Linked DNA regions of Caenorhabditis elegans. The protein of the gene in region 1 purifies or fractionates together with the protein of each later gene. This does not show direct contact. Each region holds a gene or a part of one and is shown on either strand. Other genes may lie near its edges. The genes, in order: acdh-12 and F08F8.6.

What was found.
Region 2: the proteins of acdh-12 (region 1) and F08F8.6 fractionate together in Caenorhabditis elegans (co-fractionation; one large-scale study listed by BioGRID). This does not show direct contact.

What each region holds. Positions count from the first base shown.
Region 1 is NC_003280.10:7,191,649-7,196,755, forward strand, and holds acdh-12 (Very long-chain specific acyl-CoA dehydrogenase, mitochondrial), read right to left. Parts: upstream 3,123-5,107; 5' UTR 3,116-3,122; coding exon 2,951-3,115; intron 2,905-2,950; coding exon 2,801-2,904; intron 2,754-2,800; coding exon 2,438-2,753; intron 2,391-2,437; coding exon 2,277-2,390; intron 2,229-2,276; coding exon 1,513-2,228; intron 1,468-1,512; coding exon 1,331-1,467; intron 1,287-1,330; coding exon 1,138-1,286; intron 1,082-1,137; coding exon 941-1,081; 3' UTR 786-940; downstream 1-785. Other genes in the region: E04F6.4 (PLD phosphodiesterase domain-containing protein), read left to right, coding at 308-516, 561-771; maoc-1 (MaoC-like domain-containing protein), read left to right, coding at 4,690-4,777, 4,826-4,967, 5,014-5,107.
Region 2 is NC_003281.10:7,341,717-7,346,538, reverse strand, and holds F08F8.6 (uncharacterized protein), read right to left. Parts: upstream 2,851-4,822; 5' UTR 2,769-2,850; coding exon 2,730-2,768; intron 2,342-2,729; coding exon 2,141-2,341; intron 1,813-2,140; coding exon 1,713-1,812; intron 1,668-1,712; coding exon 1,575-1,667; intron 1,319-1,574; coding exon 1,269-1,318; intron 1,221-1,268; coding exon 1,158-1,220; intron 1,077-1,157; coding exon 810-1,076; intron 760-809; coding exon 715-759; 3' UTR 684-714; downstream 1-683. Other genes in the region: F08F8.7 (Ribulose-phosphate 3-epimerase), read left to right, coding at 1-193, 246-333, 383-580; kap-1 (Kinesin-associated protein), read right to left, coding at 2,966-3,070, 3,401-3,601, 3,649-3,716, 4,103-4,305, 4,352-4,476, 4,563-4,781.

The DNA.
Region 1 (5,107 bases):
CGACACAACACAATTTTATCAAGAACAAAAAGGCGTGCGGCTTTAAAGAGTACTGTACGTTTCAAATTTCGTTGATGCGGAATTCAAAAATATTCATTGAGAAAATCTATGGAAAACACGATTAAATTTATACCATTTACGGAAGTTTGAAATTACAGTACTCTTTAAAGGCGCACATCCGTTTGCAATCAACCAAAAATTGTCGTGTCGAGACCGGGTACCGTATTCGTGGGGCGAAATTTCGCGTTTAAGTAATATTCGAAATCTCCTTCGCAATTTGAACATTTATTAAATATAAATATTTCAGAAGTTCATTTTAATTCCACAAACCGCTCAAGAAGCTTATAAAGATCGTAAGATGCATGCAAAATTCATGATTTCCGAATCAAGAACCTTCATTGGTTCATCGAATTATGGACCTGAATACTTTTACAAATCAACTGGAACTGCAATTATTGTAGACGAAGAACCACATTATGGAGATATCAATAGACAAATAAAAGCTGTATTTGAACGGTAATTAAATATAAAAAATATTTAAAATGTTTCATTGTCTTCAGATACTGGCATAGCACGTACTCACAAAAACTTCAAAAATACGGTGAATCAAAAGGTTATCTTCCAAAAATTTCAAAACCATCGAACCCATTCTCCGGATGGTTTGGGTTTGATCAAATAGGAGTATTTAATGAGAAATACTCTGCTGACGGACTAGTTTACGAGAAGAACCATGGAGAAGATCAGATTCTCGATCCGCTTATTTTCATTTAATTTCGTGTATAAAATTTCAATTGATAAAATTTATTTTCCGTTTTTTATAGCACAAGAAATAAAATATTCGCACCCGAAAATTCAAAAAAGAAGGCAATTCAATTCTAGATACATACAGACTGGCTAAAAGAGCTTCTTACGATAAAAAAAAACAAGTCTAGTTTACAATTTACAATTCAACTGGATGTTGAAGAGTGAGTCCTCCATTTCCACAGACTTCCTTCGCCAATGATTCAATTGTTGCTACCTTCGAAGCATTCTCAACACCACTTCCGGCATCCTTCAGGAATCTGTTTGATGATTTCATCGCCTGAAAGAGTAAATATCGAAATTAAAACTTAAAATTTGGCAGTTATCAAAAATTACCTTATCAACGTAGTAAGTAGCAACTTTGCGTTCAAAATCAGCACTTGAAGATTTGTTCTTGATGGCATAGGTGGCACGAGAAAGAACAGCGGCAGAGCTGTAAATGTTGATGGCAGCGTCGGCAACACGGTGCATCTCATATTGACGATCTACAAAAATTAAAATTAAAAGCAGTTCAAAGGTATTTTATTACCAATTATTCCCTTTTTATGCTTCATGAGTAATCCTTGAACTGTTTGTCCAAACAAAGCAATTTGCTGATCCAATACTTTAGCTGAATCTTGAAGACTTGCGTCGACGACTTGCCCAAAGTTGGAGCCAGTGTTTCCTCTGAAAAATACAGTTTAATAATTCTAAAAATGTGATTTCACAAACCCGGTAACTCTTGAAACAGCCAACCCAATAAGGCCCCCGACTCCAGAAGCTTGCTCGGCAAGATGCTTTCCAGCATGTTGTGCTCCAGTAAGAGCAATGAAGAGGCGGAGAACATCATTGGCTCCTTCAAAGATTCTGAAGATACGAAGATCTCGGAGAACTCTTTCAAGACCAGTCTCGCGCATGAATCCCATTCCTCCGTGAACTTGAATAGCATCGTCGCATACAAGCCAAGCATTTTCTGAAGCTAGAACCTTGCCGATAGCTGCTTCAAGTTGATACTCCTTAATTCCACGATCCATGTTTGATGAAAGCATATAGACAATTGACTCTGTTGCATACAGTTTCGAGATCATTTCTACCAGCTTTTCTTGGATATTTCCAAATTCTTGAAGTTTCTTTCCAAACTGAACACGAGTGGTGATGTGATCGACAGTCTTCTGGATACAATGTTTCATAGCTCCAGTACAGGCAGCTGGAATTCCGAATCTTCCGTTATTAAGAATGTTCATCGCCACCTTGAAGCCTTCTCCTTCTTTTCCAAGAAGATTTTCAACCGGGATTTTTAAATTATCAAAGTGAACTTCAGTTGTGTTCGATCCCTTGATTCCCATTTTCTTCTCTTGTGGTCCACTGGTGACTCCACCAAACGCTCTTTCGACAATGAATGCAGACATCTTGTCCTTTGTTGAGCCATCGGCCTGCTTGACAGGAGTCTGAATAATCAATTGTGAAAGTTTTTCCAAAAAATGAAAATAAATTACCTGAGCAAACACAGTGAAAACATCGGCGAATCCTCCGTTCGAAATCCAGATTTTTCCACCATTCAAAACGTAGTGCTTACCATCAGCAGACAATTCAGCTCTCGTTCTAACTGACTGAATAAATTTAAAGTTTATGAGAAATTAATAATATTCTAGCTTACACTAGCATCAGATCCGGTAGTTGGCTCGGTAAGAGCGAAAGCAGCAAATTTGCGTCCAGTTGCCAAATCGGGAAGATATTTTTGTTTCTGAGCATCCGTACCCTCGAGAAGGATTCCTTTGTAGCCAATCGACTGATGAGCACCCATGACAACACCAAATCCAAGATCGTAAGCTCCAACAATTTCAGCGACTCTGGCCATCTGAGAATTGTTGAATCCGGAACCTTCAAGCTCTGGTGGAACGAGTACACCAAATGTTCCTAGCTCAGCGAATTGGTCCAAAACTGCTCTTGGAATGTCAGAAGTCTCGTCATTTCTGAAAATAAATAAATTGATCATGTAAATTTAAGATTTATTATTCACTTTACGACGTCATTAACTTCGACAAGCATCTTTTCCAGTGGAGACATCACCATTCCAAGAGTTTCTTTCTGTTCGTCAGTCATATTCAGAGGATACGGAAACACCTGGAAATTGGCAGTTTGAACAGGTCCTGCTAAAATTCTCAAATACCTGGTCAGTCACAGCTTTCCCTCTGAAAAGATTCATGACAAATGATGGACTGTCCACTGCAGCGACCTTCTTCGGTTTTGCATCTTTTGCAGCAGCAGCAGAATGCGAAAGACGAATGAATCGTGTTTGGTTGAGCCGTGCAGATTTACTCAGCGTTGACAGCATCGTTTCTCTGGAAGAAAAAACCAATAATATAGGTTTCAATCAGTGAATCAGTAGGGGGTAAATAGCGATGACGGAGATAAAGAGTGAAGAAAACAACTTGGGGGTCGAACGGTGGATAGAGCAGAGACGCAGCATGTGAGAGAACATAGAACACAGACATAACAATACTTTTTTACACTGAACGTCCAAGAGCAATCAAAATAAATAGAATTCAGAATAAGTTTTATAGAAAAGTATTTAGCATTTTATATGAACGCAAAAAAGAACGAATAGGTTTTTTGCTTTTTTTGGATTACATAAAAGAGTGTTTCATAAAATAAGAAGTTTAAAAGTTAACTAAAAATAACTGGAAACATGGTTTGCTCAGTATTTTTCGTAAATTTTCCATAATAAACTGATTAATCGCCAACATACACAAACGATGGAGAGGAAACGTGGAGGACGGTCATTGTTATCTCTTGTAGACTTTGCCCTATGTACTTTGAACGGCCCTGGCTACGCACTAGTGAAAAGACAATGTGATAAAATACACTTTAGCGCAGGTTCGATGAAATTTTCAAGAAAAACATGATTTTATAGCTCTACGGGTCACCTCATGGTACTGAAAAATTCGTATGAACACTTGTTGTCTTATATTTTATCTTTAACGGCCACAAAATAAATTAAAATAGAAAAAAAACGACAATTACAGAAGTTTTCTGCATCGTACTCTGAAAGAAAAATGAATCCGCAATCTGTCGTCACGGTGTTACGGTGGTGTGTTCACACCGTCGGCACTATATTTGACGGCTCATGTTTTAATGTTTTTTACATCTGAATAAATCTGTACATTATAGAAACGAACCGTATGGAATTTGGAATTCTTTCAATGTACGAAAGTGAACGAGTGAAAATATAAACTAATTTAGCGAATGCACAAGTTTGAAAACGTGTGAATTTTTCGGAAGGCTTTTACGCGAAAAAATAAGCTTTATTTTTTTAATTAAAGAAAGAGAAATGGTTCGTAGAATGGATACTGTAATTTAGCTATTTAACAGTCGACAAACAATCCTTGGTTGTTTAAATATCGGAAAAAATAAATCGACCTTCCATGTTAATTTTATTGAACAGACGACAAGGCGTCATAGGTATTTGATGAATGTTTCTGAATTAAGAGAAATCTGAAACTGGTCTATTAATTTTTGTGCGTGCTTCGCTTCAAAATTCAAAACGAAGGAAATTTATTCGATCATTTTCTATAAGTTGAAACCCAAATACTATAGTATACTATGAACACGTTGTACATCTCTCCCGACAAAAGTCTAGTTTTTATATATTTTTTAATTGAAATTTAAAGCCTTGTATACTTTTTTTGCAAATTATTTAAAACATCTAATAATTATCAGTATGTGGTAATAATTCTTTTAGTGCTTATTTTTAAAAAAAAACTATTGATTTCACCCTCGTTATGTAGTCTGCAGCGTAGTCTTATCAACACATGGGGTCAAGACTACACTGTACCGATTCCTTGTTAGGTATTGGCATTTTCTATTTCATTATTTGGTTTTTGTTTCTTCTCCGACAAATACTTAAAAATGGATAAGAAAACTGCTTGCGCACATGTGGCAGAGCCATGCGAGTTCTCATATTCTACCAGAGATGCTATTATTTATGCTCTTGGAGGTAATTTTTTCTAAGACCTTTTGAATAGTGATTAATAATTTCATTTAGTTGGTGCTCGAGCGAAAGAAGATTTGTGCTACGTTTATGAGAACCATGAAGACTTTAAAGTGCTTCCATCGTACATTGTTGCTCCAGGATTTCAAGCTCACACTTTGATGGATTGGCCAGGAGTTGAATTTGATCTTCAGAGGTTTTTCTTATAAGATTTCTTGAAAACACATGTTTAATCATTTTAGAGTTCTTCACGGAGAACAATATATTGAAGTCTATCAACCACTTTCAGCAGAAGGAAAATTGAAATCTGAAGCTAGAGTCGTTGATATTCTTGAC
Region 2 (4,822 bases), on another chromosome or scaffold:
TTCATTTGATGGTCTCTAATCCTGGACAGTGGGTTGAACCGATGGCAAAAGCTGGTGCCAGCCAGTTCACATTCCATTATGAGGCTGTAGATGGTGATGTGGCAGTCAGTGAATTGATCGAAAAAATCAGAAAAAGTGGAATGAAAGTGGGATTATCGGTCAAACCGGGAACTTCTGTTGAGCATATTTTGAAGTAAAATCAAAATTATATTTCAATCTAGATTTTAAATTAAAAAACTTTTTAGACATGCTAATCATTTGGATAATGCTCTTATCATGACTGTGGAACCAGGATTTGGAGGACAAAAGTTCATGGAAAACATGATGGAAAAGGTATTTATTTTGGTTTTTATTTGATACGAATAAAATTTATGGCTTTCAGGTTCGCACAATCCGTTCAAAATATCCAAATCTGACTATTCAAGTTGACGGAGGAGTAACACCTGAAAATATTGAAATCTCTGCTCAAGCTGGAGCCAATGCGATCGTGAGTGGAACTGGAATCATCAAAGCTGCAGATCAATCTGTCGCCATGACAACAATCAGAAATGCAGTTGAAGCTGCTATTTCGAAGTGCTGATTTTCTTAATTACTTGAATATTGTTTTGAATTTTGAAGCTCATTTTTTCAGAGCTTTTTGAGGTTGTGATGTTAATAGTTAGTAAATGATTGTCAATTAAAAAATTCAAAGCAGCATTTATTTATCTATAAAGTTCAGATGGGCTCTGCAGTTCCTAGCTTCGGGGTCGGAGCAGGTGTCTGAAAAAAGAGCATTACAAAACATCATGGACCATTCTTCAGTTGCTTACATTTTTAACACTTTCCTTCTCCTTGCTCGGAGTCTTCTTATCCTGATTTGATGGCAATACTCCAGTACTTCCAATTGTATCTTTACTCGGAGTCTTTCGTGGTTCGATATTTCCTGCCTCTTGGCTCATTGCAGTATTCAACGACGGCTCCTTGCTTCTTCCTCCAGCATTTGCAGTCTTTGTAGATTGCTTCGGAGTCAACATGATCTCACGAGACGGCTGCTTACGATTCGGAATTGGAGGAGGAGAACGTGGCAATGTCTTTTTCTGAAAAATTGGTTGTACTTTTGCTCAAGATCTTGGAGTACTACAAAAGCTAAAAAATATTTCGAAAAATAAAAAACGAACCAGATCAGTCTCACTCTCCTTTGGTGTCTTCTGTAAGCTGAGCATGGCCGATTTTGGAGCAGGCTGAAAATTGATTGAAATGAATGAAAACACTCGAGTGAACATACAAACCTCTTCAATAGTTCCAAGTGTCATAGTCTTCGATTTACGAGTATCTTCATCTGAAAATTGATTTCGATTATTTGCAAGAAATAGACAGACACTTCACCAGTCCCTTTCCTTCTGCCTACCTAATACTTACTTCACACCTGCCTGCGTACGTGTCCACCTCATCCCTACATCTTACGGCTTTGCCGACTTGCACAACCCCCCTCAATACCTACTCCCTGTCTATCTGACCACCAGGGCAACCAAGTTGCTGGTTGCCGAAAATTGGAGCGTATGGCAACTAAACAATAACCGAGTTCTGATTCTTACCTCCCATCGTGTCATAAACACGTTCAATATCAGATGGTGGAAATGTGACATCTTCTGGATATCGATTATCTTTTTTTCCTGGTTTTGTTTCCTCTGAAATAATGAATTTTGGAGAGACAGATACAGAGAAAGACATACGTTTTTGTCCATTTGTCGAGTAGTTCACATTGACAGAACCCAAATGATTAGGATGACAGATTTGTTTGCAGATTTCGATTGGAAGGAGAATTTGCAACGCCTGAAACTAGTAAAATTAAATAACTTTTTATGAAAACTTTTCTATCATAATTTGGGGCATTGACCAAAACCAATTTTTTCTAAAAATAACCTTATCGAATGTTTATTTTTGTATCGGAACATTATAGAAGTTCGAAACTACAGTTTATTCGTTAGTTTTTCATCATTTGACTTGAGAGTCGTGATAGTACTTCAGAGACTCTTCGGATATCTACAGTAACCTACAAGTGTATTGTATGTGTGAATATAATGTTTTGTAGAAGTATCCAAAAGAGAGGTGTTCAATTCACAACTATCGAAAAGGGCAATTTCTGAAGAGTTGAACTTGCCTCGTCAATCAAATCGATGATTGCATTATCCAAATCCTGTATCGTACTCCATAGTTGAAATGCGTTGAAAACCGAGTAAATGGTACTCAACAACGCGATGAAGCAAAGTGCAGAAGCTACAATCCATAATCCAAGTGCCAGTTTATTATAATGAAAATATTCACACTGGTGTTGCTTGAGTAAGTTATCGATCGTTGTTGTCTGAAAATCCGATTAACATGAGAACTGCTAATGAGGTTCCCAGCCACGATGCAACTAGATTCCACTTCAAATTAAACGTGTCAAGTATTAAGAAACCATCGGTGCATGAGAATGTCTACTTTCTGGCGCGAAAATGGCGGCAGGAGAGATTCTTCGGATATCTAGAGTAATCTAATTGTAAGAACATGCGGCGATGAGAATTTAGGTACCTTCGCTACGAGATATTCCCGCGCCAAAACGGTAGGCATTCTCATGATCTCATGGTCTCTTAATAATTTCTCTTATTTTCTTCTGTGGCATTTTTGAGTCCTAGACTCTTTCAAGTACTATATGTGTCCCCATTCACTCCACCTTTAAGATTCACAAGATTGAAAGTTTCACAACTTACCGAAATTATTGCAGTTGTAACATTTGAAGAATTGTTCATTTTTGAATAAAATGAAGCAGTCACTTCGAGGAATGAAACACTAAATGTGAAACACTACATGGCCAGAGAAAATTTGACCTTTCAAAAGATAAATATTTATACGTGAATTTTGTTTTAATTTTTTGCATATAAATCAAAACATTCATTTATTAAGTAAAAATATATAATTTGTAGGTTAAAAAAACAACAAACAAAAGTTAAAAAAGGGGCTCATTCATATCAAATCCATCATCATAGTGATCAAATTTGAGATCAGCTCCAAAATCTTCATCATCGTAATCTACGAATTCGCTGTCGTCTCGCTGGAAAAACGATTTTTAACCGGTGACTTTAGAGCCTATATTAATGTAATGTAACTCAAGCTGCATTACTGCTATCCTGTTTCTACCGTAACACTCACCGTAAACTACTAAATAGATTCATTTAAAGTAATGATGTTTTTGATACATATTTTTAACGGGATAGTCAGAGTGTCTTCGTTTTTGAAAGTATTTTTATACAGAAATAAAACTAGGAAATGCTAGTGACGTTAAATTTCCAAAACCTTGTATAGTATATTTGTATAGTGACCAGTATCATAATATTATTTGTACCAATCAACGAATAAATTGTTAAAATAACTACGATCATACCTCAACCATCTCCAACCATTGTGCATTGTGCCATTTGAATCTCTCTCCAGCTATCCGTTTTGCCCATTCTTTTGAATGTTCACCCATTATCAAAAGGGCATTATCGCAAACTTCTCGAACCACTGCGTTTGCATCGTGCATCAAATCGATCATATGGGCTCCGAGAGCTGAATCTTGAGTCATCAGGCGAGCAGATAGTTCCTTTGAAAAATTTATATGAGAGTTGAAAAAACTCTAAAACGTTATACCTTGTGCTTTAAAAATTGCAAGAAAACGTAGAGAAGTTGCACAACAAACTCATCATCAATTTGGCATGCTGAAAAAAAGATTGCGATATTTTTCAGTAATTTATTTGTATTCTCGATACACCCAAAAAAGATCAAAATGACACCAGTAAAACACTTCAAAAACGTTAGATTTTAAAAAAGATTTAGCTGAAGATTTGTTAATTTGCCAATTACTTCCAAAAATATGTACTTTTTGAGTAATTTTGAACATTTTTACATGTTCGATTTCCTAGAATGTTCAAATACAATTGAAACACAACTAGTTTCAATAATTTCCATTTTGTAATTTACCAACTGGCAAAGCTCCACCTTTAAATCTGATTGTGAGGAAAAATGAACTTTTATGTTTTCAAAAGTTACTGGGGTTTTATTATGAAACAAACTCTTAAAAAATAACTTAAATTTATGAACGTACATTGTAATAACTGCACAAATGTATCAATCAAAGGAGCCAATAACCTAGCTGCATCCAATTGCCTAGCCATTGTTCCACAAGCAATTACAATTTGTAGTTGGAGAGGTTTTATGTCTCGAAGTACTGTCACTTCTTCGGATTCATCAATTCCTTCTTGAAGTTGAGTTTTCATCCAAGGAACAAGATTTTCAGATTGAATTATTCTATAATTTAAGTTTTTGATTGGAATTCCGAACTCAAAAAGCTCACTTTGCCCACGGAGCAACTTTGAGCTCAGCAACTGTACCCATGCATTCTAAACCAAATGAAGATTTTGACTCTGAGTTGTCTGCTCCTTCATTTTTTGCAATCCCGATAAGAGTTTCAATCCACTTCTGAAAATTCTAAATTTAAATAACAACGTTCATTTTTTTTCGTTATCTATTTTCACCGTTCAATAATAATTCAGTTCTCAACTTACCAAAAACATATTCTGCGTCGCACCTTCGTGACTTGAAATCGCTCGAACAACCTTTATGAGCATTAGATCTCTCGAGTTGATAGACATTTCCATAAGAAGATCTAATCCTTGACCACGTTGTCCACATACCAACTGAGCATTTCGTTTTTCGAGGCAAATATTCAACAGGACTGCTTTTGTCACTTCACTTCCTGTTCCACTTAGCACATCTTTCATTAGCTGGAAAAATGTTTTTTTATGAATCATATCCTCGTAGCAAA